Linked DNA regions of Elephas maximus indicus. The main gene of each other region encodes a partner of the protein of the gene in region 2 in a complex. Links are inferred from orthologs where the notes say so. Each region holds a gene or a part of one and is shown on either strand. Other genes may lie near its edges. The genes, in order: MMP10, TIMP1 and stromelysin-1-like.

Region 1 (7,534 bases), on a different chromosome or scaffold from region 2:
TTGATGATGATGATAACATGATTCTTTTGTTTTGTTCTATTTATACGGTGGATTGTGGTGATTGATTCTCTTATGTCGAAATATCCTTGTATATCTGGTATGAATCCAACTCGGTCGTGGTGTATTATTTTTTTATATGATGCTTAGTTTTATTGGCTAGAATTTTGTTGATCATTTTTTCATCCATATTCATGAGAGATTATTTTTGTTGTTCTTAGGTGCCGTGATGTCACTTCTGACTCATAGTGACCCTATGTACAACAGAACGAAACACTCCCAGGTCCTGCACCATCCTCATAATCATTGTTATGCTTGAGGCCATTGTTGCAGCCACTGTGTCAATCTGTCTAGTTGAGGGTCTCCCTCTTTTTTGCTGACCTTCTACTTTACCAAGCATGATGGCTTTCTTCAGGGACTCGTCCCTCTTGATAATATGTCCAAAGTATGTGAGACAACGTGTTGCCATCTTTGTTTCTAAGGAACATTCTGGCTGTACTTCTTCCAATACAGATTTGTTCATTCTTCCTGCAGTCCATAGTATATTCAATATTCTTTGCCAATACCATAATTCAAAGGTATCAATTCTTCTTTGGTCCTCCTTATTCATTGTCTAGCTTTCACATGCATATGAGGTGATTTAAAATACTGTTGCTTGGTCAGGCACACCTTAGTACTCAAAGTGATGTCTTTGCTTTTTTATCACTTAAAATAGGTCTTTTGCAGTAGATTTTCCCAGTGCAATATGTTGTTTGATTTCTTGACTGCTGCTTCCGTTGGTGTTGCTTGTGAACCCGAGTAAAATGAAAACCTTGACAGGTTCAATGTGTTCGCCATTTCTCATGATGTTGCTTATTGGTCCAGTTGAGAGGATTCTTGTTTTCTTTATGTTGAGGTGTAATCCATAGCGAAGGCTGCGATCTTTTATCTTCATTGGTAAGTGCTTCATGTCCTCCTTTCAACAAACAAGGTTGTGTCATCTGCATATTGCAGGTTGTTAATGAGTCTTCCTCCAATCTTTATGCTGTGTTCTTCTTCATATAGTCCAGCTTCTATGATTATATGCTCAGCATATTTATTGAATAAGTATGATGAAAGGAGATAACCCTGACTCACACCTTTCCTGATTTTAAACCAGGCGGTATCCCCTTGTTCTGTTCAAATAACTGCCTCTTGGTCTGTTCCTCATGAACACAATTAAGTGGTCTGAAATTTCCATTCTTGCCAACGTTTCCATAATTTTTTATGAATGACGAGTGCTTTTGCATAGTCAATAAAACACAGGTGAACATCTCTCTGGTATTCTCTGCTTTCAGCCAAGATCCATCTGACATCAGCAATGATATCACCCTTCCACGTCCTCTTCTCAATCTGGCTTGAATTTCTGGCAGTTCCCTGTTGAGGTATTGCTACAAGAGCTTTTGAATGATCTTCAGCAAAATTTAACTTGCGTGTGATATTAACAATATTGTTCTAAAATTACGTTTGACACCTTTCTTTGGAATGGACACAAATATGGATCTCTTCCAGTTGATTGGCCAGGTAGTTATCTTCCAAATTTCTTGGCATAGATGAGTGAGCACCTCCAGCACTGTATTCATTTGTTGCTACATCTCAGTTGGTATTCTGTCAATTCTTGGAACCTTGTTTTCCGCCAGTGCTTTCAGTGCAGCTGGGACTTCTTGCTCCAGCACCCTCAGGTCTTGATCGTATGCTACCTCCTGAAATGGTTGAACATCGATCAATACTTTTTGGTACGGTGACCCTGTGTATTCCTTCCATCCTTTCAGGTTCTTTTGATTCTTCCTGCATCATTCACTTTCAAACTGCTTATGTCCTTGGATTGTGGCTCTTGTAAACAACATACCTTTTTTTTTTTTAAATCCACTCAGCCACTGTCAACCTTTTGATTAGAGCATTTAGACCATTTGCATTCACTGTAATTGTTGATGAGAGGTAACTTACGTCGTTTTGTTTTTTTGTTTTCTGAATGTCTTAAGCCTTCTTTGTCTTTGTCCTTTAGTGCTTGCTTTTTGTGTTTTGTTGGTTTATTGTAGTGAGTCTATTTGTTTCCCTTCTCCTTTCCTTTTGTGTATTTTTTTAAATATATTTTCTTACTGGTTACTCTGAATATTGTATATAAGAACTTGTATTTATAACATTCTAGGTAAGTTGGTGCCATCTTAAATAATATACAGGAAATTCTATATCTATACCAATCCTCTCCTCCCCTTTTGTTGTTTTTATCACTAATTGTTTATATTTCATTTGCCCTGTAAAACAGACCAAATTTTAATTGCCCTTATTTTTGGAGCCCTAGTGGCACAGCGATTAAGTGTCATGGCTGTTAACCAAAAGGTCCACAATTCAAATCCATCAGTTGCTTCTTGAAAGCCCTATGAGGCCATTCTACTCTGTTCTATAGGGTCACTATGAGTTGAATCACTTGACAGCGATGGATTTGGTTTTTTGGCTTATTATTGTTTTAAATTCTTTATGGCTGATACTCTCTCTCATTGCCTCTACCCAGCATGGACCACTCCTACAGCCCACACTTTGCATACCACTGTGTTGTGCACTGAGTGAAATCCCTCAAATCTTTTCTAGAAAACTATGGGAGAAAGAAAGCAAAAAAGAGAATCCATATGGGAAGTTAAAGGACTAATATTTATGGAACACTGGCTAAGCGAAGGACAATTTATATGTAACATATCATGTAATTCTTATAAACCATTTTTATAGATGAAAGAACAATGTCCTTCAGAAATTAGATATATTTAACCTAAAGATGGCAACTTAGTCAAACACATTATGCCATCCCTGTACAGCAAAGACACGAGAAACCAAATAAAAAAGATGCAGATGACAATCCTTGAACCCTGAACATCAAAAAGAATGGTAAAGAATTCAAACAACATTTGGAAGAAGAACCAAGCCAGCAAACACGGAGTGATATGGAGTGAAGGTTCCCTGACATGGATGGAAATGGGGAGAGTGCTGACGTATTGTGGGGATTGCTACCAAATGTCAGGAACAATCTGTGTCTTATTTATTGAATGGGAAACTAATTTGCTGTGTAAACTTTCACCTAAAGCTAATAAAATGTTCCCAAAACAATTTTTGTATATTTGCTCAAAGCCATCCAGCTGACTTTGAGTCTGGCTGTAAGCCCCTTTCCCTCTGTTTTCAAGCTGAGGTTCCTTCCACTGCACCACACTATAGAGCAAACCCTTGGCTATATTAAGCCACAGGTTGACATGGGCCGATCAGTGCCCATCCAGATTTCTTTCCAATTCTGGTGCAAGGTTTTAGAGCCTCCAGGTTCCTGAAGTTTCCATCTTGTCTAGTCAATCTCAAGTAGGGTGAAGATAGTTGGTGGTGCTGATGGGATCATGCCTGCACACCCATAAATTCAGTCTCCTATTCCTTTGCATATTCCAGGTATGGTAGAGTTCATTTATCTTTAGTGAGGAAAAAGAAAGATAATTCTATCTTAAAAGAATTTTACTGTCTTTTATATTAATAGATTAATTTGACAAAAATGTTATCCCAGACTTACAATGTGAAAGCACTCGGCTGAGGGGAAAAAAAGAGAGAAAATGCTATTGATGGACAGGAGTAGATGGTTAGATATGTGACGGAAAAGGAGTATTTGAAATTATTCCCCTTCACAAATTTCAATCCATCTCCTCTTTGTCCTTTAGTAGGAGGAAAAGAAGATAAAAAGGTTTTTTTAAAGCAACAAAGAAGAGGAAGGTAGGAGGAACATTTCATTCTAATATGCAATTTGACAAGTTTTTATCAAGCAGTTACAAAGAGCATATCATTTATTCTGAAATGGACAATGAATGAAAACCAAAGACGAATCGGTGTGATTCTTCCTTCCTCTACAGACCCTCTTTTCCATGGCCCACTCCCTTCTCACGGTGTTCCTCCTCCAGGGCCAGTAAATCCATCTGGAAACTTGTAATAACTGCTTTAAACAAGGACTCAAAAAATGAAATACCTCTCCTAATATCCTCCTAGAGATAAGTTTCCATATTTAGACCACAATTATATTTGGAATTTCCTTCCGTTCAACTACTTTTTCCTAACCCACTTATATTTGAGCTTAAAATAAACTATTCCTAAAAAAAACCTGAACAGATTTAGAAAGGTCTGAACTTTTGACTTTTTACCAATAAACACATAAACATGAATGATCTAGTAGTTTCTTTTTCCACTTCATAAACACAGAAGCCACTTCCTAGAAATTAATCATTCTCTTGTGCATTTCGAAGTTCAAGGGAAATTACTGATAGAGTCTGTATCATCTTCCTGTTGAATTCTGGTGACCCTTTCCGGTTTCATTCAGATAAAAAAAAAAAAAAAAGAAAGAGCACACACACACCTTAGTCACCAAACACACATGATGATATAAGCCTTGTCGCCCTATATAAGTCCAGCCACTAGCAGGTAGAGAGAGAAGCCAGTAGTCACAGAAGGTGTTTTCCTTTGGTGAAAATGGTGAGAATGAGGCACCTTGTCGTCCTTGTGCTGTTATGTCTGCCAATTTGCTTGGCCTATCCACTGGCTGGGGCAGTGAAGGAGGATTCAAACATGGATCTCGTCCAGGTAATTAATGGTGGGGGCCATGACGCCCCTGGTCAGTCCAAGTGGAGAGACAAGTGTGTTTGTTTCAGCTTGATAATCAGAGGAGGAGGGGATTACAGCCAGACTCAAAGTCAGCTGTAAGCAGAATGATTCGATTGGGGGTTATTATGTTGGGATAACTTAGGATCAGGGAGATTAAAGTGCTAGAAGTGGAAGTCCCTTCATTTTAACAGAAAATGAAAAAGAGGCCCAGGAAGAAGAGATAATTACTTAAGGTCACACAATAAAATATTACAGGCAGCTTCAGGACTAAGTGAAGAGAATAAATGGAAAGCTTCTGAAAAACTGATTTTAGAATTTCCTTAGTTAAAATAATAGCAGGGTGGGGAGAACATGTGAATTTTAGTCTTGCAATGATACCAAGTAATAATGTTTATATCGTTGGTTGTCATGTTTGGACACAAGAATTTGTCCCATTTAGTCTTGACCAGGTTTATATTAACAACGTAAAGTGGAAAAAGTTAGACATGCTCAAAGTATGCATACAATTATGTTTCTCTTTTTTAAACAGGTTGGATCTAAATTCTCAACTTCAAATTCTTTACTTGGCTAGCAGATTAAATTGCAATGAAATTTAAAACTTAGTACAAAGATAAAATAATGAAATCAGGAGTCTTCATGAAAAATCAAATTAAGTGTGCTGTTTGCTTTGGTTTCAATAAACTAGAGAATAATTAAATTGTGACATTCAGGCAACTGTAAAAATTACCTAAAATCTATGCTTATTTTTTCATAAGCAATATCTAGAAAAATACTATGACCTTGCAAAAGATGTGAAACAGTTTGTAAGAAGAAAGGACAGCAGCCCTATGGTTAGAAAAATTCAAGAAATGCAGAAGTTCCTTGGGTTGGAGGTGACGGGGAAGCTGGACTCCAACACCCTGGAGGTGATGCGCAAGCCCAGATGTGGAGTCCCCGATGTCGGTCAATTCACTACCTTTCCTAGCTCACCAAAGTGGAGGAAGACTCACCTTACTTACAGGTAATTTTTACTTATAGGTTTTCACATAAGATTATAAGATTATACTCTGTAAATTACTGTCACAGGAGAAAATGTTACCTTCTATTTTTCTTTTACAGGATTGTGAATTATACACTGGATCTGCCAAGAGATGCTGTTGATGCCGCCATTGAGAAAGCTCTGAAAGTCTGGGAGGAGGTGACTCCTCTCACATTCTCCAGGAATAATGGAGAGGCTGACATAATGATCTCCTTTGCTGTCAGAGGTAAATAATAATTATTTTTAAAAACATGAAATATATCCATGTATCAGGTTTTTTTTTGGAAAAATTAAAAAGAAATCCTAATTATTCATCTCTCCAATAAAAAAATCATTTTCCCTGTTAGAACATGGGGACTTTTTCCCTTTTGATGGACCTGGAGCCACTGTGGCTCACGCCTATGCACCTGGGCCAGGGATAAATGGAGATGTTCACTTCGATGATGATGAACGATGGACAGAGGATAAAACAGGTGGGTCATAACTCTCTCAAAATGATTTCAGAAATAATGCCCATCTCTATCCAAGATAGATGTATACCTGTGTTTTATTGACTACGCAAAGGCATTTGACTGTGTGAATCATAACAAATTATGGATAACATTGCAAAGAAAGGGAATTCCAGAACACTTAATCGTGCTCATGAGGAACCTGCACATAGGCCAAGAGGCAGCCATCAGAACAGGTTAAGGGGATACTGTGTGGTTTAAAATCAGGAAGGGCATGCATCAGGGGTGTATCCTTTCACTGTACTTATTTAATCTGTATGCTGAGCAAATAACCCAAAAAACTTCATGAAGAAGAACATGGCATCAGGATTTGAGGAAGACTCATTAAAAACTTTCAACATGCAGATGACAAATTTTGCTTGTGGAAAGGGAAAAGGGCTCAAAGCACTTACCAATGAAGAGCAAAGACTTCAGCCTTCAGTATGGATTATACCTCAATATAAAGAAGACAAAAATCCTCACAACCGTAATAAGCTCCATCATGATAACTGGAGGAAATATTGAAGTGGCTAAGGTTTTATACTTTACTTGGATCCACAATGAACACCATGGAAGCAACAGTCAAGAAATCAAGCAACATATTGCATTGGGCAAATCTGCTGCAAAAGATCTCTTGAAAGTGTTGAAAAGCAAAAACATCCCTTTGAGGACTATGGTGTGCCCGATCCAAGCCATGGTATTTTCAATTGCCTCATATGCATACAAAAGCAGGACAACGATTAAGGAAGACTGAGTAAGAATTGATGCCTTTCAAGTATGGTGTTGGCAAAGAATACTGAATATACCATGGCCTGCCAGAAGAATGAAAAAGTCAGTCTTGGAAGAAGTACAGCTAGAGTGCTCCTTGGCAGTAAAGTTGGTGAGACTTTGTCTCAAGTACTTTGGACATGTTATCAGGAGGGACCAGTCAGTCCCTGGAGAAGGACATCATGCTTGGTAATGTAGAGGGTCAGTGAAAGAGAGGAAGACCCTCAACGAGATGAACTGGCACAGTGGCTGCAACGATGGGCTCAGGTGTAGCAAAGATTGTAAGGATTGTACAGGACTGGACAGTGTTTCATTCTGTTGTACATAGTGTCTATGAGTTGGAACTGACTCAACAGCACCTAACACCTATCCCAGAAGAATTTGTTTATCCAGATAGAGCAGTAAATGGAACATCCTAAGTAACTAAAATTTCTAATTAGCTGAGTGGTAACGAGAAGCACTCTTTGTCCTAATCCTTATTGAAGAACTTCATAAAATGTCTGCATTTCTTTCGTGCCCCACCAGGCACACTATAATAAGCACCATTCAATTTTACAATAACTAAGTTATTGTTTCTAGCTTAAAAGCTTTTTTTTCTACACTAGTTCTGAGGGGCTTTAGTAAATAT
Region 2 (7,236 bases):
GCTGCAGGTGGTGATGTGCAGGTGCCCCTTCCGCAGTTGTCCTGGGGGGAGAGGGGAGGAGGACAAGCAGCTTCTGATTAGCTGGGCTGGGGGCAGGGTGGTGCCTGACTGGCAGCCCTGGAGTACAGATCCTGCTGAATCCCTGGCTTTGTGATAGGCTGAAATTGGGGTGGTCCCCATGTCAACTGGGACCATTCCCTTGGGAGCCTCGCCTGCCACAGGGTGGCTAGGCAGCATTTGAGGAACAGGTTGGCATGGTACAGGGCGAAGGAGCAGGGTCTCACCAGTGATGAGAAACTCCTCGCTGCGGTTCTGGGACCTGTGGAAGTATCCACAGACGCTCTCCATGGCAGGGGTGTAGACAAAGCGAATGTCAGGGGCATCCCCCAAGGCGTCGAAACCTTTGAACATCTGTTGATGGATGAGAGGAAGAGTCTTTGTTTTACTGATATTAATCCTCCCCCTCTATGTTCTATCCTGAAGCCATACAGCATCCTGAGACCACAGCCAACTTCCTTGCTAGCCTGTAGCCAGAAGCTTCTATTTTGATGGAGAGGAAAATGTTAGGAACTGCTGGGGAATGGGCAGAAGGGATACCTTGGTCATCTTGATTTCATAACGCTGGTACAAGGTAGTCTGGTTGACTTCTGCCATCCCCATGAACTTGGCCCTGATGACTGCAAGAGAGGAGGGAAAGAAATGAGTCAAAGGGGCTGTTGAGCAAATAAAAATAAAATACCCACAATAATACTACTAGACAAGCACATACTTAAATAGGCATTACTGCATGCCAGACAGCACACTAAGCGATTTACACATTCGTTCATTGATCCAGCTGTATACTGAGTGCCTACTCATTGCCTGGCACTGCTCTAAGCCTTTTTCATAAATTCTTTTGTTCATTCGCTCAACAAATATTTTGGAACACCTACTGTGAGCCCTGGTGGCACAGCGGTTAAGAGCTTGGCTGCTAACCAAAAGGTCGGCAGTTTGAACCCACCAGCGGCTCCTTGGAAGCCCTATGGGACAGTTTTACTCTGTCCTATTAGGGTCAAGTCAAGTTGGAATCAACTAGGCAGCAACAGGTTTTGTTTTGTTTTTACTGTGTGCCAGAAGGTAACTAGGTGGCACAAATGGTTTGCACTCGACTGCTAACCTAAAGGTTGGTGGCTTGAACCCACCCAGCAGTACCGTGGAAGAAAAGGCCTGGCAATTTGCTTCCATTAAGATTACAGCCAAGGAAACGCTATACAGCAGTTCTACTTTGTAACACACAGGATCACCACGAGTTGGAATGGACGATCGCAACAAACAACAACTGTGTGCCAGACATTGTTCTGTGCTCTGTAGATTCCTTCATTCATTCAACAAGCATTTTTCTCGAACACTTACTGTATGCTAGGCACTGTTCAGGGTGTTAGGGCCACAACAGTGAACAAAATACAAAAATCCCTTCCCTTGTGGAGCTCACATTCTAGCCAGGGGAAGACAGACTAGAAACAAGCAAAGTAAATAAGTATATGGAATATTAGAAAGTATTAAGTGTGATGGAGAATTGCAGAGCTGGATAAGAGGGATCAGGAGTACTAGGGGTCAGGGATTAAGGTTTTAAATAAGGCTGCCAGGGGAGGCCACCCTGAGAAGGTGATGTTTGAGGCAGACACCCATGTGGATACCTGGGGGGAAGGGTGTACCAGACAAATGGAGGGCCAGTACAAAGCCCTGAGGTGGGATCAGGCCTAGTGTAGTCAAGGAAGTGTGAGGAGGCCAGCGTGGCTGCTGCAGAGTAAGTGCAGGGGTGGGTGAAATTATTCTAGAAGTAGGCACCACTGTGAACCCCAATGGACTGAGAGGGAAACCAAAGCATGGAGTGTGTGGGCAGGGTGGGGTACAGACTCACCAAGATCAGAACTGCAGTAGGCCATCTGCGGGTGTGGTGCAGCACAGGTGCATGCTCTGCTGGGGGTGATCAGCCAAAGCAAAAACAGGATGCCAGAGGCCAGGGGCGTGAAGGGAGCCATGGTGGGTTCTGCTGGAGTCAGGAGTCAGGGCAGGGGGTGTCATTTGGCCCCAGCACAGCTGATCCCCCCCCCACCCTCTTCCAGGGCAGCCTGAAAGGGGATTAAGGGGCTGGTTTGGGCTTGGGGAGTTTGTGGATTTTAAGGGAGTTGGTGATTTGGGGAGCCCAGAGGGGTTTAAGGGGTTGGGAGAGTTTAAGGAGTTGTGTGTGGAGTTTGGGTGATTTAGGGGACTGGGTGAGTTAGGGAATTAGAGGGTTGTGGAGTTTGGAATATTAGGGGTGGGGAGTTTTGAGGATTTAGGGGCGTTGGGGGGTTTGGAGGTTGAGAAGTTTGGGGTGAAAAATTTGGTGGTTGGGGGGCTGGAGAAGTTTAGGGGAGGTTGGGAGTTTAGGGGTTGTGAACTGTGAGTGATATAGGGGGCTTGGGGAGTTTTGGATTTAAGGAGGTTGAGGAATTTTGAGGAAGTTGGGGTTTAGGAAGTTGGGGGAGTTTGGGGGTTTAAGGGGTAGAGGGAACTTCGGGGATTAAGGGGGTGGGGGTGCTTCAGAGATTTAGAGGTTGGGGAGTTCTGAGGTTTAGGGGTTGAAGATTGAGGAGTTTGGGGGATTTGAGGGCCAGGGGAGTTTAGGGAGCTGGGGAGACGGGGTGGGGGACTTGGGGGCAGTAAGAGGAATTTAGGCGAGTTGGCAGGTTGGGAGGAGTTTGTAGTATTAATGGGTCACAGGTTTGAGGAAGTTGGTATGGATGTTAGGGGTCAGGGGATTTAGGGGCTCGGGTTTGGTGGAGCAGCTCCAGCCCCACCCTCTTCTCCTTTTTCCAGCCCAGGGTCCTGGTGCTGGGAGGCCAGGGTAGGCCGCCAGGCGTCTGCACAGGAACCGGCCAGCCTGGTGGCTGGCAGGAAAGCTCCAGCTGAGCTCCAGCCTCTGTGGGGCCACCCAGGCCCCTGCCTACCTCTGGTGTCTCTCTAGGCGCTGGGTCTGCGGCGATGGCGGCAGGGCCTGAGCGGTAGGGGATAAATGTCCATGCGAGGGGGCGGGGGTGGAAGCAGTGCGGAAACCACAGGCTTCCAGGCTTCCTGGATGCATTACTCATCCACCCACCATCAGCGCAGAGGCCAAGGGGCGGGTCGCCATTGCGGAAAGGGGGGTGCACCCTCCTCCTCTCCCTCCCCCTGGGCCTCGGTTCCCGGCCACCCCCTCCCCCATCCCCACGTTGTGCACCAATCCTTACAAGCAGCCTCAGTGGAGGCCTTATAGGCAGGATTCCCCCACATCCCCTCAAGTCTCCAAACTTCTTCCAAAGCCTATCGAATTCCTCACATTCCCCAAGCTGCCCATAGCTGAAACCCAAATTAGTTCATTCTTTCAACAAACACACAAGCACACAAAAAACACGAAAATCCATTTCCTTGTAGATCTGACATTCTAGTGAGGGGCAGGGGAGGCAGAGAAGAAACGAATGATGCAGAAGCAATAAAGGAAGATAAGGCATGTGAATGGAGGTGGAATACAAACTGGGAAGCTGAAGTACAGAGTTAAGTGACATCAAGATCACAGAGTTAAAAAGTGGCAGAACTGGGATTTGAGCTCAGGTGGCCTGGAACCAGGGCCTGGGTCTTAACTTCTTTCAAAAAATGCAGCCAAATAGCCAGCATTTATATGGCACCTACTGTGTACCAATGAAGCATTGGTGGTTCAGTGGTAGAATTCTCGCCTTCCATGCAGGAGACCCAGGTTTGATTCCTGGCCAATGCACCTCATGTGCAGCCACAACCCATCTATCAGTGGAGGCTTGTGTGTTGCTATGATACTGAACAGGTTTCAGCAGAGCTTCCAGACTAAGATGGACTAGGAACAAAGGCGTGGCAATCTACTTCTGAAATCAGCCAATGAAAACCTTATGGACCACAATGGTCAGAGCCACAACTGATCATGGGACTTGCGTTTTGTTCCACTGTGCATGGGGTCACCATGAGTCGGAAACTGCGGACTCCACAGCAGCTAACAACAATATACTGTATGCCAGGCACTTGGCATAATTTATCTCATTTAAAGCTCATAAGTCTCTGAGATGAGGACTGGTGGTATTCCGTTTTTACAGACGAGGAAATGTGATGCATTAGAGGGATTGAGGAGTCCCTTGGTGGTGCAAACAGTTAACATGCTCAGCTGCTATCTAAAAAGTTGAAGATTCGAGTCCACCCAGAGGCACCTCAGAAGGAAGACCTGGTGACCTACTTCCAAAAACTCAGCCATTGAAAACCCTGATAAGTATAGTTTACCCTGACACACACACATGGGTTGCCATGAGTCAGAATTGACTTGAAGGCAACTGGTTTTTTAGAGGGATTGAAGAATTTTCTCAGGGTCACAAGACATGGCTGGGATTCGAACCTTGGCTAACACCAGGATCTTAACCCAGGCAAGGCACAGTCCTGGCAAGCCGGGAATGTGCATATGGGGGGGGGGGGGCGGTGTTGAATGGTGGTGAAAGAGGCCAGTGAGTCAGTAGAAAACTGATCCCCACCCCATCCTGCCCTGCCCCTTCCCCACTAACCCTCCCACGCCCCTGGTGGAGGGTGAGATGAGGCAATCCCTGCCCACCAGCTTCCTGATGTTGGCTGTCCCGGGGGTCCTGGGGAAGGGGACAATTCCAAGTTCTGAAGGCTGATTAACATCCTTGGTTAATTCAGGGAGGGTAGACCAATAATGATGATGAAGTGATGATAATACTTACTGTGTATTGTCTACTAAGGTCTGTGTGTAAATTGTCTCATTCAATCTCCATTGCCCCTTTGAGAATTAGGCTTGATTAACTCAGAGAGGTTAGACCAGTAATAACAATAACCACCACCAACAACAACTCGTACGGAGAGTTTACTGTGTAGCAAGCACTGTTCTAAAGTCTTTGTATATACAGTATCTCATTCAGTCAGTTCTGATCACCTCCTTGTTAATTAATGTTGGTTTAATGAAAGGATGTTAAAGCAATAATAATAGTACCCAACACTTATTGAGGATTGAGACTTACTGTGTGCTAGATATTGTGCTGTGTTTTTCCTGAAATAACTAGTTTATTCCTCACAACATCCCTGTATGAGGAACTGCTTATATTCTCATTATACAGATGAGGAAACTGAGACACAAAGGGGTTGAGTGACCTTCCCAGGAATGAGAGTGAAGAAATGACTTGTTAGGGGGGACAGGAAGGAGAGAAGTAAACTCAAAAGATTGTAGACACTGACTGTGAAAGGGGGTGAGTACCGGGGGAGTTAGAGTGAATGAAACGGGTTGAGTAAGAGTGGTAGCTGGCCAGGCTGAGGAAGAAGCGAGGAAAGGGAAAGTCCTGTTGCAGCCCCTCACTGACCCCGGTTCTGACGCCAGCTCTGTGATTCTGAAGCCTGAGTCAGCACAGGGTTTTACCATCTACATATGAGGGTTCTGGGGATCTGGGTTAGTGCACAGGCTGTGAAGCTGGTGGAGTTCTGTGGAAGGAGTGTTCAGGTGTGTGATCATCTGGGGAGTTCGATGGTGTGGGAGCCCATGGAGCCCAGCTGGGGTGTGTAGAGCTAACTCCGACAGTCCCCACCACACACCAGTGCTTAGGTGCCCTTTGTACAGATCAGGAAACTGAGGCCCAGGGAGGAATTAAGTGACATGGCGTTAAGGAAGAGGGGAGGCCAAAATGCAAACTTAGGGATTTCCAGGGGAACCCCAGAGTCCATAACTTCATGCATGCACACAAGTGGAGGCACACACATACACAGTGTGTGCAGGTTCAGGGTCAGAGGACACAAGGACTGTTTATGAAAAGAGGGGCCTAGAAACCTCGGGCATGTGTGCACTCAGCTCTCTGGTGCGTTTCTGCCTCTGAGTGTGTGTGTGTGTGTGTGCCTTTGAGAGCTGTATGTGTGCCTCTAGGTGGTATGTGTACCTCTGTGTTGCTGTGTGTTTCTGAGAGCTGTGTGTATGTGAGTGTTTTATATATCCCTGTGTATTTCATGTTGCTTATGGGAGTTTTGTGTCTGCCTCTGTAAAGCGGGTCCAGGTTGTCTATGTAATTGTGAAATGTTTCGTTTACCTCTGCATGCTGTGTATACATATGCCGTATGCCTGAGTTTGTCATGTGTACGCCTCTGCATTGTTTCCCTGGCATGCTACCTAGAGGACCCTCATAATCCCCCATCCCCGTCTTTGCCCCCCCCCATAATGACACCAGTCATTTGGGAAATGAGGAAGGTGGGGGTGCAGAGGGAGGGCAAGGCCTGAAGGTCAGTCAGTCACCCTGAGCCTGTGGGCTTCCTGTGCCTGTCGGGAACTGGGAACCTCCCGGAACCGCCACCGCCCCAGCATCCCCTCCCGGAATGCCTTCTCTCTACCCCCGTCAGGCATCTGTCTCCACAGCGGGAGGGAGGGGCAGGAGGGGGCCCTTTGCGTGCATTCGTGCTATTGGTGGGGCTGGAGTCACCCAACCCAGGCCCCTCTACCCCACCCAGAGTGGGCGTGGGGGGTGGAACTCGAGGTCTTTCCCACGCCTGAATGTGTATATGTGTGTGTGTGTGTGCGCACGCGCACGCACGCACACACATCCTAAGGAATGTTGTGTGGGCACACACCCAGAGTTGTGGCCTGGGAGTATACTTAGGGTACTGAGTGTCTCTGGTTGTGTGCATGCCTGTGTTCTGTATATGACAAGGCATGTTTTGTGTGTCTAGATATACTTTTTTGTGTGCCCAGGAGTGTAGTGTGGGTCTCTGTTATGGGTCTCAGTGGTTATGTGAATGCCTAGAAGTGTGTACATCTGTATGTTGTGTGGGTTCTTCTGTTTGTTGTGCATGTGCCTAGGGATGTTCTGTGTGCCTGTGTTAACTCTGTGTCTAGTTCTGTTGTGTGTGCCTGTCAGAGTTAAATGTGTCTCTGTATTCTGTGGCTGTATCTCTGATGGTTGTCTCTGTGTTGTATGGGTCACCTGTTGGGTGTTGCGTGTGTCCCTCTGTTAAGTGTGTTTGGGCGAAGGGAGGAGGGCTGTGTGCTGTGTCTGTGTCCAAAAGTGTTGAGTGTGTGTCTAGGAATGTTGAGTGTGTACTGCTGAGAAACAAGGCTGGTCAAGCATGCTGATTTCTGTCCCCTGCTGTGAGCACATGGGGTGGGGGGGTGGTGGATGACTGTGTTGTGGGTCTCTGTGAGCCCTGGAGAGCTAGGCGCGCTTTGGAGTC
Region 3 (7,332 bases), on a different chromosome or scaffold from region 2:
CTCCCATCCCTACCCACCACTAGCATTAAAAAAAAAAAAAAAAAGCATTAGAGTCTATTAACTTCACAAGAACCAGGTGTCTTTTCTTCTGTTCAGAAGTGTAGTGGACCCAACTGTTTAAAAAATCAATAAATATTTCTCTTCATTTGTCATTGAAAATTAAAAAATCTAAACACTGTCTCAATGTAGTAATATTTGCTGGTTATGGTCTCAGTTAAATGAATCACAGTTGATTCATTTCAGTTCTGAAATTCTTAGAAAACCATACTCCTGTTATTTTCCATTGAAATATTGCCTGCATAATTTTTCTGTCTAATCATCATTATTTAATACATATTGAGTCAAAATAATAAATATAGATATCACAGGATTTGAAAAATTAGTTTAAAATATAAATGCCCAATCATATCTAGGATTTGTCAGAAAAGAGATTTTGATCACATAAACGCTGGCTGTATTCAGATATTTTTATTCATATTATTTAAAAATATATAGAAATTGGAAGGCATTAGGTAATTATGATTGACATAAGTAACATAACAAGTAAATCTACCTCTGGAAAAGTTATTTGTCTAACTCATGACCCCAGGAAAGGTCTCATTTGAGACTTCGCAGGAAGAGGTTAATTAAATCAAACCAAGAATTGTATCTAGCATTAACCTCACATTTGTACTCTCTGCAGAAATTCCGTTTGCATTTTCATTATAAAGCCCAGCCAAATCTTAGAAGCAATATTATTCGGTTCAGCAGATTGTCTGAAACTTTGGAAGTCATTTCTTAAAGTATATAATATAGCTTTGAACCAAGAAATATTCTTCCACCTAAACAGTGTGGACATTGTATTTTTTTTTTTTTTTATTTCCTTCAGAACAAGTTCATGAAAACTCTTCCTAAACTTGAGGCAGTAAAATGTTGACTTAGCCAGAATAACCGAGAACCTCAATGTCTCCAATTTAATTCTGATTTCTGTTTTGAAGAAGAAAGATGTGAATGGGGGAAAATATATAAACACCGCTGAGGGCATGTTTTATGGTCAGTGTAGATTTAATGCAATAAACTATCCCTTGGATATCTGAAATGTGGTATAATGAGAATTCGATCTTAATAATAATGGACTGAAGATCCCACAAGATCCACAGTTATTTTTCTTACATTGTACTTACCAAGGCAAGGAATAAACCTTTAAAAAACTAGAAAAGTTTTCAACATTGATTAATGCTCATTTCTTGAACATTCTTCGATACTAAGAGTTTTCCAAATATAGAAGGAAATTAGCACCAAAGTCATTATGAGAGAAGCTTAACTTACCTCTTTTATCCTCTGTCCATTGTTCATCATCATCGAAGTGAGCATCTCCATTAAGCCCTGGGCCAGGGGCATAGGCATGAGCCAGAACTTTTCCAGGTCCATCAAAAGGGATAAAATCTCCATGTTCTAATAGAGAAAAATGTTTTTTTTTTTTTTTAAAATTGGAAAGATAGGTAATTAGTATCTCTTTTTAGGCTTTTCAAATAAAACACCACCAGATCAATGAATATATTTCATGTTTTTTGGATTGTTTTGTTTTGTTGGTTGGTTACTTTTAATTACCTCTAACAGCAAAGGAGATCATTATGTCAGCCTCTCCTTCATTATTCCTGGAGAATGTGAGAGGAGTCACCTCCTCCCAGACTTTCAGAGCTTTCTCAATGGCGGCATCAACAGCATCTCTTGGCAGATCCAGTGTATAATTCACAATCCTGTAAAAGAAAAATAGAAGGTAACATTTTCTTCTGTGACTGTAATTTACAGAGTATAATCTTATAATCTTATGTGAAAACCTATAAGTAAAAATTACCTGTAAGTAAGGTGAGTCTTCCTCCACTTTGGTGAGCCAGGAAAGGTAGTGAATTGACCGACATCGGGGACTCCACATCTGGGCTTGCGCATCATCTCCAGGGTGTTGGAGTCCAGCTTCCCCGTCACCTCCAACCCAAGGAACTTCTGCATTTCTTGAATTTTTTTAACCACAGGGCTGCTGTCCTTTCTTCTTACAAACTGTTTTGCATCTTTTGCAAGGTTGTAGTAGTTTTCCAGGTATTGCTATAGGAATAATTAGTTCTTAGGTCAATCTTATGATTTTTATCTATTTATAATAATTTTTTACACTTGCTCACATTTCTTAATGTATTTGAAGTATTCCTCTAGTTTGCTGAGATAAAAATAAATGGTATGTTTGTTTACTTCTTAAAGCCTCCCCCTTCTCTTTGCTTTGTCTTTGTAACTAAATACCTCTGCAATTTAGTTTGGTACCAAAGCAATGGCAGAGAAGTGAAAAATTGAAATAACATCTGGTTCACTTAAAGAAGAAAAACAAAACAAACAAACCTCTTTTGGCCTAACTGTATACTCTGGATAAAATTATTCAATTTCCCACTTTATACTACCCACAAGGGTCTGGCTTAAGAAAAAAGTTGGCAAAATCCTTTTGTCTAAACATGACATGAGCAATATAAATATTTAGTTAAAATGACATTGAATCAAAATATCTAAAAAAGTTCCAAAACAGGGCATACTTCATTGTGCTCCACTTGCCCTTTAAGTACTTCAAGTCCTAATGCTGCTGCTACGACAGTGTTGCGTGATCTCAAGAAAAAACCTCACATTTCTGGTCCTTTGTTTCTTCCCACATAAAAAGAGGAGCCTGAATGATGTGATACTGAGACTCTTTCCACATCTAATACTTTACAACTTTCTGTCCCTGAACTGTTTCTACACAGTAAGTTCCAATCGTTCTAGTAAGAGTAGTAGGCAAGGAGGGTCTCCCTACTTGTCCCTACCAGTGGGTGGGATGGATACCTCCATTAATTACCTGAACAAGATCCATGCTGGTGTCCTTATTCTTTGCTGTTTGTTCCAGAGGGTAAGCTGAGCAAGCTGCCACGCACAGAAGCACAAGGATTGGAAGATTCTTCATTTCCACCGGCTTTACTCAGCTCTACTTGAAGAACTCCTTATGCTCTGACTACCTCTTTCTAGGTCCACCCTCCAGAGCCCAACTTTTATAGGGTGACAGGATTTGTTCAAAACACTCACAGCTTGACTCATGATTTCTTTCATCCAAATGGAAATGGTCCAACAGGACTATTTCCAGAAATTCCAAACTCAAAGTAGAGTGATACAACGTAATTTACTAATTTCTCTCAACCTTCCAATTTTACAAAGCGAAACAGTGATTAATGGCCAGGAAATACTTCCTGTTTTGGTAAAGGAGAAAACTGGGACATTTTTCCTTAAAAACTCTGTAAAGAAAATGGACCGGAATTTACTAGACAATTCATGCTTGTGTGTTTTTGAGGAGAAGCGGGCTGACTTAACAAAAAGTTAAAATTGAGCAGAACTTTCAAATGCAGTTATACTTTAAGAACATATTTTAGAATAAAATGTAATATGACAAGATATAAAGAAATGAAATGCCATGCATATGTAGCTATAGTCTGTATCTAGAAGAAAATTGGAAGGGAGAATTCATTTTTTGTGTCTTTGCTTCCAAATATCAGTTGACAACAAGCCACTTCCAACTCGTGGACACCCCGTTATTGCACAGTAGAACTGTGCTGTATAGGGTTTTCATGACTGAAACCTTTTAGAAGCAGATAGCCACCCCTTTCTTCCCAGATCCTTCTGGGTGGGTTCGAACTGCCAACCTTTACAGCCTTGCAGTTAATCTTTTGTGCCACCCAGAGGAAAAAAAAAAAAAAGAGAAATACCTACTATTAATTTCTGGTTGGATTTGCAAGTCCTTGAGGAGGAAAAGTGTAGGGGCAGGATAGAATAAAGAGAGTCTGTGAAAAAGAAGGAAGTGTATCTATTCTCTTATGGTTGGTTTTAATTCTGTACCCAATTTATTAAGGGATAATAGACTCAAAACAGGTGCTCCATAAATGCTTGCAGAATTGGCATAAATTACGTCACTCACTGGACTGAAATGCTCCTCGGTCTTTATCTTCTACACTTTTATTCTATACTTCTAGTTGTGAACAGTACAAAAAAAAATTTGACTTTTTCAGCTCAGAAATGAAAATAGTTTCCACAGACCAGTCATTTGTTATATGGCTAATTATATACAAGAGATAGATAGTAGCTGGTGTTTATAAATCTGGTATCTCAGGGATCCAGGAACTTTTAATTAAACTTTAATTTAGCCTGATCCAAATTTGGATTCAAAAGCTGGCAGTTAATCGAAGTAATATCCTATCTGATAACTTTTCATATCTATCTATCATGATTTTCCCTGACTAATCAGACAAGATAATCCATGATCCTTACTACCTCTAAAACCTAACCTGTTGCCATGGAGTTGATTCTGACTCATAGAAACCCTTCTTCTGGTTAATACAATCATTCTTTCAGATAAACACTCCTTTATCCAGTGTCTTAGTTTTACATGTTTCAGAATACTCAGACTGAGATTGTAGGTTTGGAGATAAAAATCAAAAGGAACCCTTAGAGAACAAGTGGTCAAAGTAGCTATTTTAAAAAAGGAAGGAAGGCAAGAAGATTAGTTGGTTATAATCTAGTAGGGGAGAAGATTCCAGTGCAACTAAGTCTACAAGGAATGAAGTGAGAAGTTGTATAAGAATTAAGCAGAGGAAAAGGTGTTTAGAAAAAGCTCTGGGATAAAATAGCTGATAGGTGGAGCCTAGAAAGATTTGGACAGGAAGGTAAATACCAGAACAGAATAATTACGATGCAGAGTCAAGAAAGCTTAAGATCTATACAGAAAAAGGCAAAGAGTTGATTTTTTATTGAAGTACAAGATGTTTGGAGAGTGGTAATGAAAAATAAGGTTGTGGGAAGATAGATTGAAGCCCAGTCATTGGAAGGCCATTAGATAAAGTGTTTAGAGTTTATTCTGTTGGTAGTGTGGAGAGTCATGATTCTGAATAAAGTTTTGTTTTGTTTTTTTCTAATATGCCCATTATAGAAAATTTAGAAAACTTGAAAAAGTAGAAAGAAAAGAAATCATTTCCAGTCTTATCAGGGAAAAGCTACTCTTAGCACTTTTGCTGTATTTTCTTATTTTAAACTGTGTGCGCTTTTTTTTACATCCTGATGATCTCTTGAAATTTGTAAAATTTTATGTATATATATATGTACTTTTTTTTTTTTTTTTTACAATTCTGAATCCTATCAGCCAGAGAAAAGCACTAACAAGGCAATATATTTCATCAGAATTGTAGGATAAAAAAATATTGTTTATAGGTTTCTTCATGTTTTTCATAGTTGAAATCAGACTATAGATGCTGATTTTTATGCTTATTTTTCACAGACTTTCAAACTATCTAGTTGGAAGAAGAACTAGAATGGAAGAGGGGATTAGGGACAGACAATATCTGCAAGTGGATGGCTCAGTCTTGTTTTCGTTTATAAAAAGCATAAGGACTCTGATCACTTCATTAAAAAAAAACCCAAAAAACCCAACCCTGTAGCTGTCAAATTGGTTTGGACTCATAGCAACCCTGTAGAACAGAGTAGAACTGCCCCATAGGGTTTCCAAGGAGCAACTGGTGGATTCAAACTGCTGACCTTTTGGTTAGCAGCCGAGCTCTAACCACAAAAATGTCAAAATCTATCATTCAGATTCCTTGGCAATGACAATAGCCTTTGCGTGGTTCCATGTAACTCTGATTTTCCAGAGGGAACGAGAACATTTTGCCATAATCATAGCATAAGTATTTCAATTGTGCAAACAGTATAGTATCAAATAAGATGTTCAACGGTTCTCCAAGACAGGATATTCCATTTGATTGTAAGGTAAATACTTTCTTTTTTTATATGAAGACTGGAGTGGAAGCAGAAGGGGAACAGGAGTGAGAAGCCCTATGGACCGATCTTCACCTTAGGTCACAAAATCCATCTGACAAACCATCATTCAAGCAGACAAGTGACTTTGTCAAATAAACTTGGTAACGGCAGTTCTGTTGGGCCTTTTAAACCCCTGACATACCCCTTCTGGAATTGTTAGTTTTGAGTCGACTTTCAATTGACAATTGTATGCTTTCATGTAATTTTTTTTTTCCAAGAATGATTTAGGAGTGAAATTTATTGATTCTTGCATGTCTGAGCATGCCTTCTGTTAGCCTCTCCTGTGGAAGATATTTTGGTTAGGCATGAAACTCTAGGGTTATAATTTTTCTCTGTTTTTCAAAATTAAGATCCACGCGATAGAGAAGGGGACGCAATATTTTCTAGCTAATAGGAAAATAAGGTCCTGGGTCTCCGAGCAGACAGGTAAGGAGAAAATTATCTTTCTAGCTCTTTTAGATGGCCAGTGTTTGCTGAATTTTCATAACACAAAACACAGATAAGCCTCCAAATATTTATTTCAATCCAGCTTCACTGTCTTTATAGACAGTAGAAAAATTCACTCTAAAACAATCAGTCTTGCTTTCAATGTTATAATTTTTTCTTCTCTTTTCATGTGCTTTAGCACAGCATTGGGAAAATTTCCTTCAGTGCCTAGTAGCCCAGTACTCTTCATCAGTAAGTTCTTCAACTCTGTATGGATCATAGCAAATTATGGATAACATTTCGAAGAATGAGAATTCCAGAATTGTGCTCGTGTAGAACCTGTACACAGACCAAGAGGCAGTCATTCAAACAGAACAAGGAGATACTGCCTGGTTTAAAATCAGGAAAGGTGTGTGTCAGGGTTGTATCCCTGTCTGGCAGTTCCCAGAAAAACTGCTGCAACTGTTTTGATATGTATTGACATTTTTTTTTTCCTTAAATCTGGGCCTTCATTTATGCTTTATTCTGGAGGTTCAGTTTCTTCACATTTTGCTCAAACATCTGTGTCTGGTAATGCTCATTCCCCCGTCAGACGCCTTATCTTCTTTTGAGTCATGATTTTGTTAGTGTTGACACATTCTTTCAATGGGTCACTTTATGTAAGAATGATAGAATCAAAGTTTGTGTTGTAGTAACAGTTATAATTAGGGCTGGATATATTCCAGAGCAGAGCTAACTTATGCTCCCACAGAGCTAGTGTTGGTATGCCAGTTTACTGTCCATTAAAACCGAGGTTCTGAGCTTATATTAAAACAAAACAAAAAAACCAAAGGGGTGGCTGGTGGATTCAAACTACCGACCTTTTGGTTAGTAGCTGAGCTCTTAACCACTGTGCACCAGGGCTCCAAACTTACATAGTTTTAAATAAACCCTGAGTCTTTTTAGAGTGTGTAATGTAGTTTTTTTAATGTAGTTAGACAAATATATATATATGTGTGTCCTTTAAGAAAAGAGAAAACTACTATACAGGCAGTCCCCAGGTTATGAAAGGCCGATTTA

What was found.
Region 1: the proteins of TIMP1 (region 2) and MMP10 are in contact, whole or in part, in a crystal structure (PDB 3V96), measured with the Homo sapiens proteins. The link is inferred for Elephas maximus indicus from reciprocal best matches to the Homo sapiens genes TIMP1 and MMP10. Residues at the interface, in NP_003245.1 of Homo sapiens: Cys24, Thr25, Cys26, Val27, Pro28, Asn37, Leu57, Tyr58, Pro87, Met89, Glu90, Ser91, Val92, Cys93, Arg98, Thr121, Cys122, Cys155, Leu156, Ser157, Ile158, Gln173, Leu174, Gly177, Ser178, Glu179, Lys180; in NP_002416.1 of Homo sapiens: Phe170, Tyr171, Gly177, His178, Ser179, Leu180, Ala181, His182, Ala183, Tyr184, Pro185, Tyr191, Asp205, Ala206, Ser207, Gly208, Val214, His217, Glu218, His221, Phe226, His227, Thr231, Tyr236, Pro237, Leu238, Tyr239, Asn240, Phe242, Thr243.
Region 3: the proteins of TIMP1 (region 2) and stromelysin-1-like are in contact, whole or in part, in a crystal structure (PDB 1UEA), measured with the Homo sapiens proteins. The link is inferred for Elephas maximus indicus from reciprocal best matches to the Homo sapiens genes TIMP1 and MMP3. Residues at the interface, in NP_003245.1 of Homo sapiens: Cys24, Thr25, Cys26, Val27, Pro28, Pro29, Val52, Thr56, Leu57, Tyr58, Pro87, Ala88, Met89, Glu90, Ser91, Val92, Cys93, Thr121, Cys122, Leu156, Ser157, Pro159, Gln173, Leu174, Gly177, Glu179; in NP_002413.1 of Homo sapiens: Phe100, Thr102, Phe103, Phe171, Tyr172, Gly178, Asn179, Val180, Leu181, Ala182, His183, Ala184, Tyr185, Ala186, Thr207, Thr208, Gly209, Thr210, Val215, His218, Glu219, His222, Phe227, His228, Tyr237, Pro238, Leu239, Tyr240, His241, Ser242.

The regions. Positions count from the first base shown.
Region 1 is NC_064825.1:17,872,369-17,879,902, forward strand, and holds the start of MMP10 (stromelysin-2), read left to right. Parts: upstream 1-4,464; 5' UTR 4,465-4,500; coding exon 4,501-4,611; intron 4,612-5,387; coding exon 5,388-5,632; intron 5,633-5,730; coding exon 5,731-5,876; intron 5,877-5,997; coding exon 5,998-6,123; intron 6,124-7,534. UniProt on the Homo sapiens protein: Can degrade fibronectin, gelatins of type I, III, IV, and V; weakly collagens III, IV, and V. Activates procollagenase.
Region 2 is NC_064846.1:124,057,219-124,064,454, forward strand, and holds the start of TIMP1 (metalloproteinase inhibitor 1), read right to left. Parts: upstream 3,080-7,236; 5' UTR 2,973-3,079; intron 2,033-2,972; exon of another isoform or gene 2,030-2,032; 5' UTR 2,022-2,029; coding exon 1,901-2,021; intron 678-1,900; coding exon 598-677; intron 412-597; coding exon 285-411; intron 42-284; coding exon 1-41. UniProt on the Homo sapiens protein: Metalloproteinase inhibitor that functions by forming one to one complexes with target metalloproteinases, such as collagenases, and irreversibly inactivates them by binding to their catalytic zinc cofactor.
Region 3 is NC_064825.1:17,788,724-17,796,055, reverse strand, and holds the start of stromelysin-1-like, read right to left. Parts: upstream 3,002-7,332; 5' UTR 2,957-3,001; coding exon 2,852-2,956; intron 2,083-2,851; coding exon 1,838-2,082; intron 1,740-1,837; coding exon 1,591-1,739; intron 1,435-1,590; coding exon 1,309-1,434; intron 1-1,308. UniProt on the Homo sapiens protein: Metalloproteinase with a rather broad substrate specificity that can degrade fibronectin, laminin, gelatins of type I, III, IV, and V; collagens III, IV, X, and IX, and cartilage proteoglycans.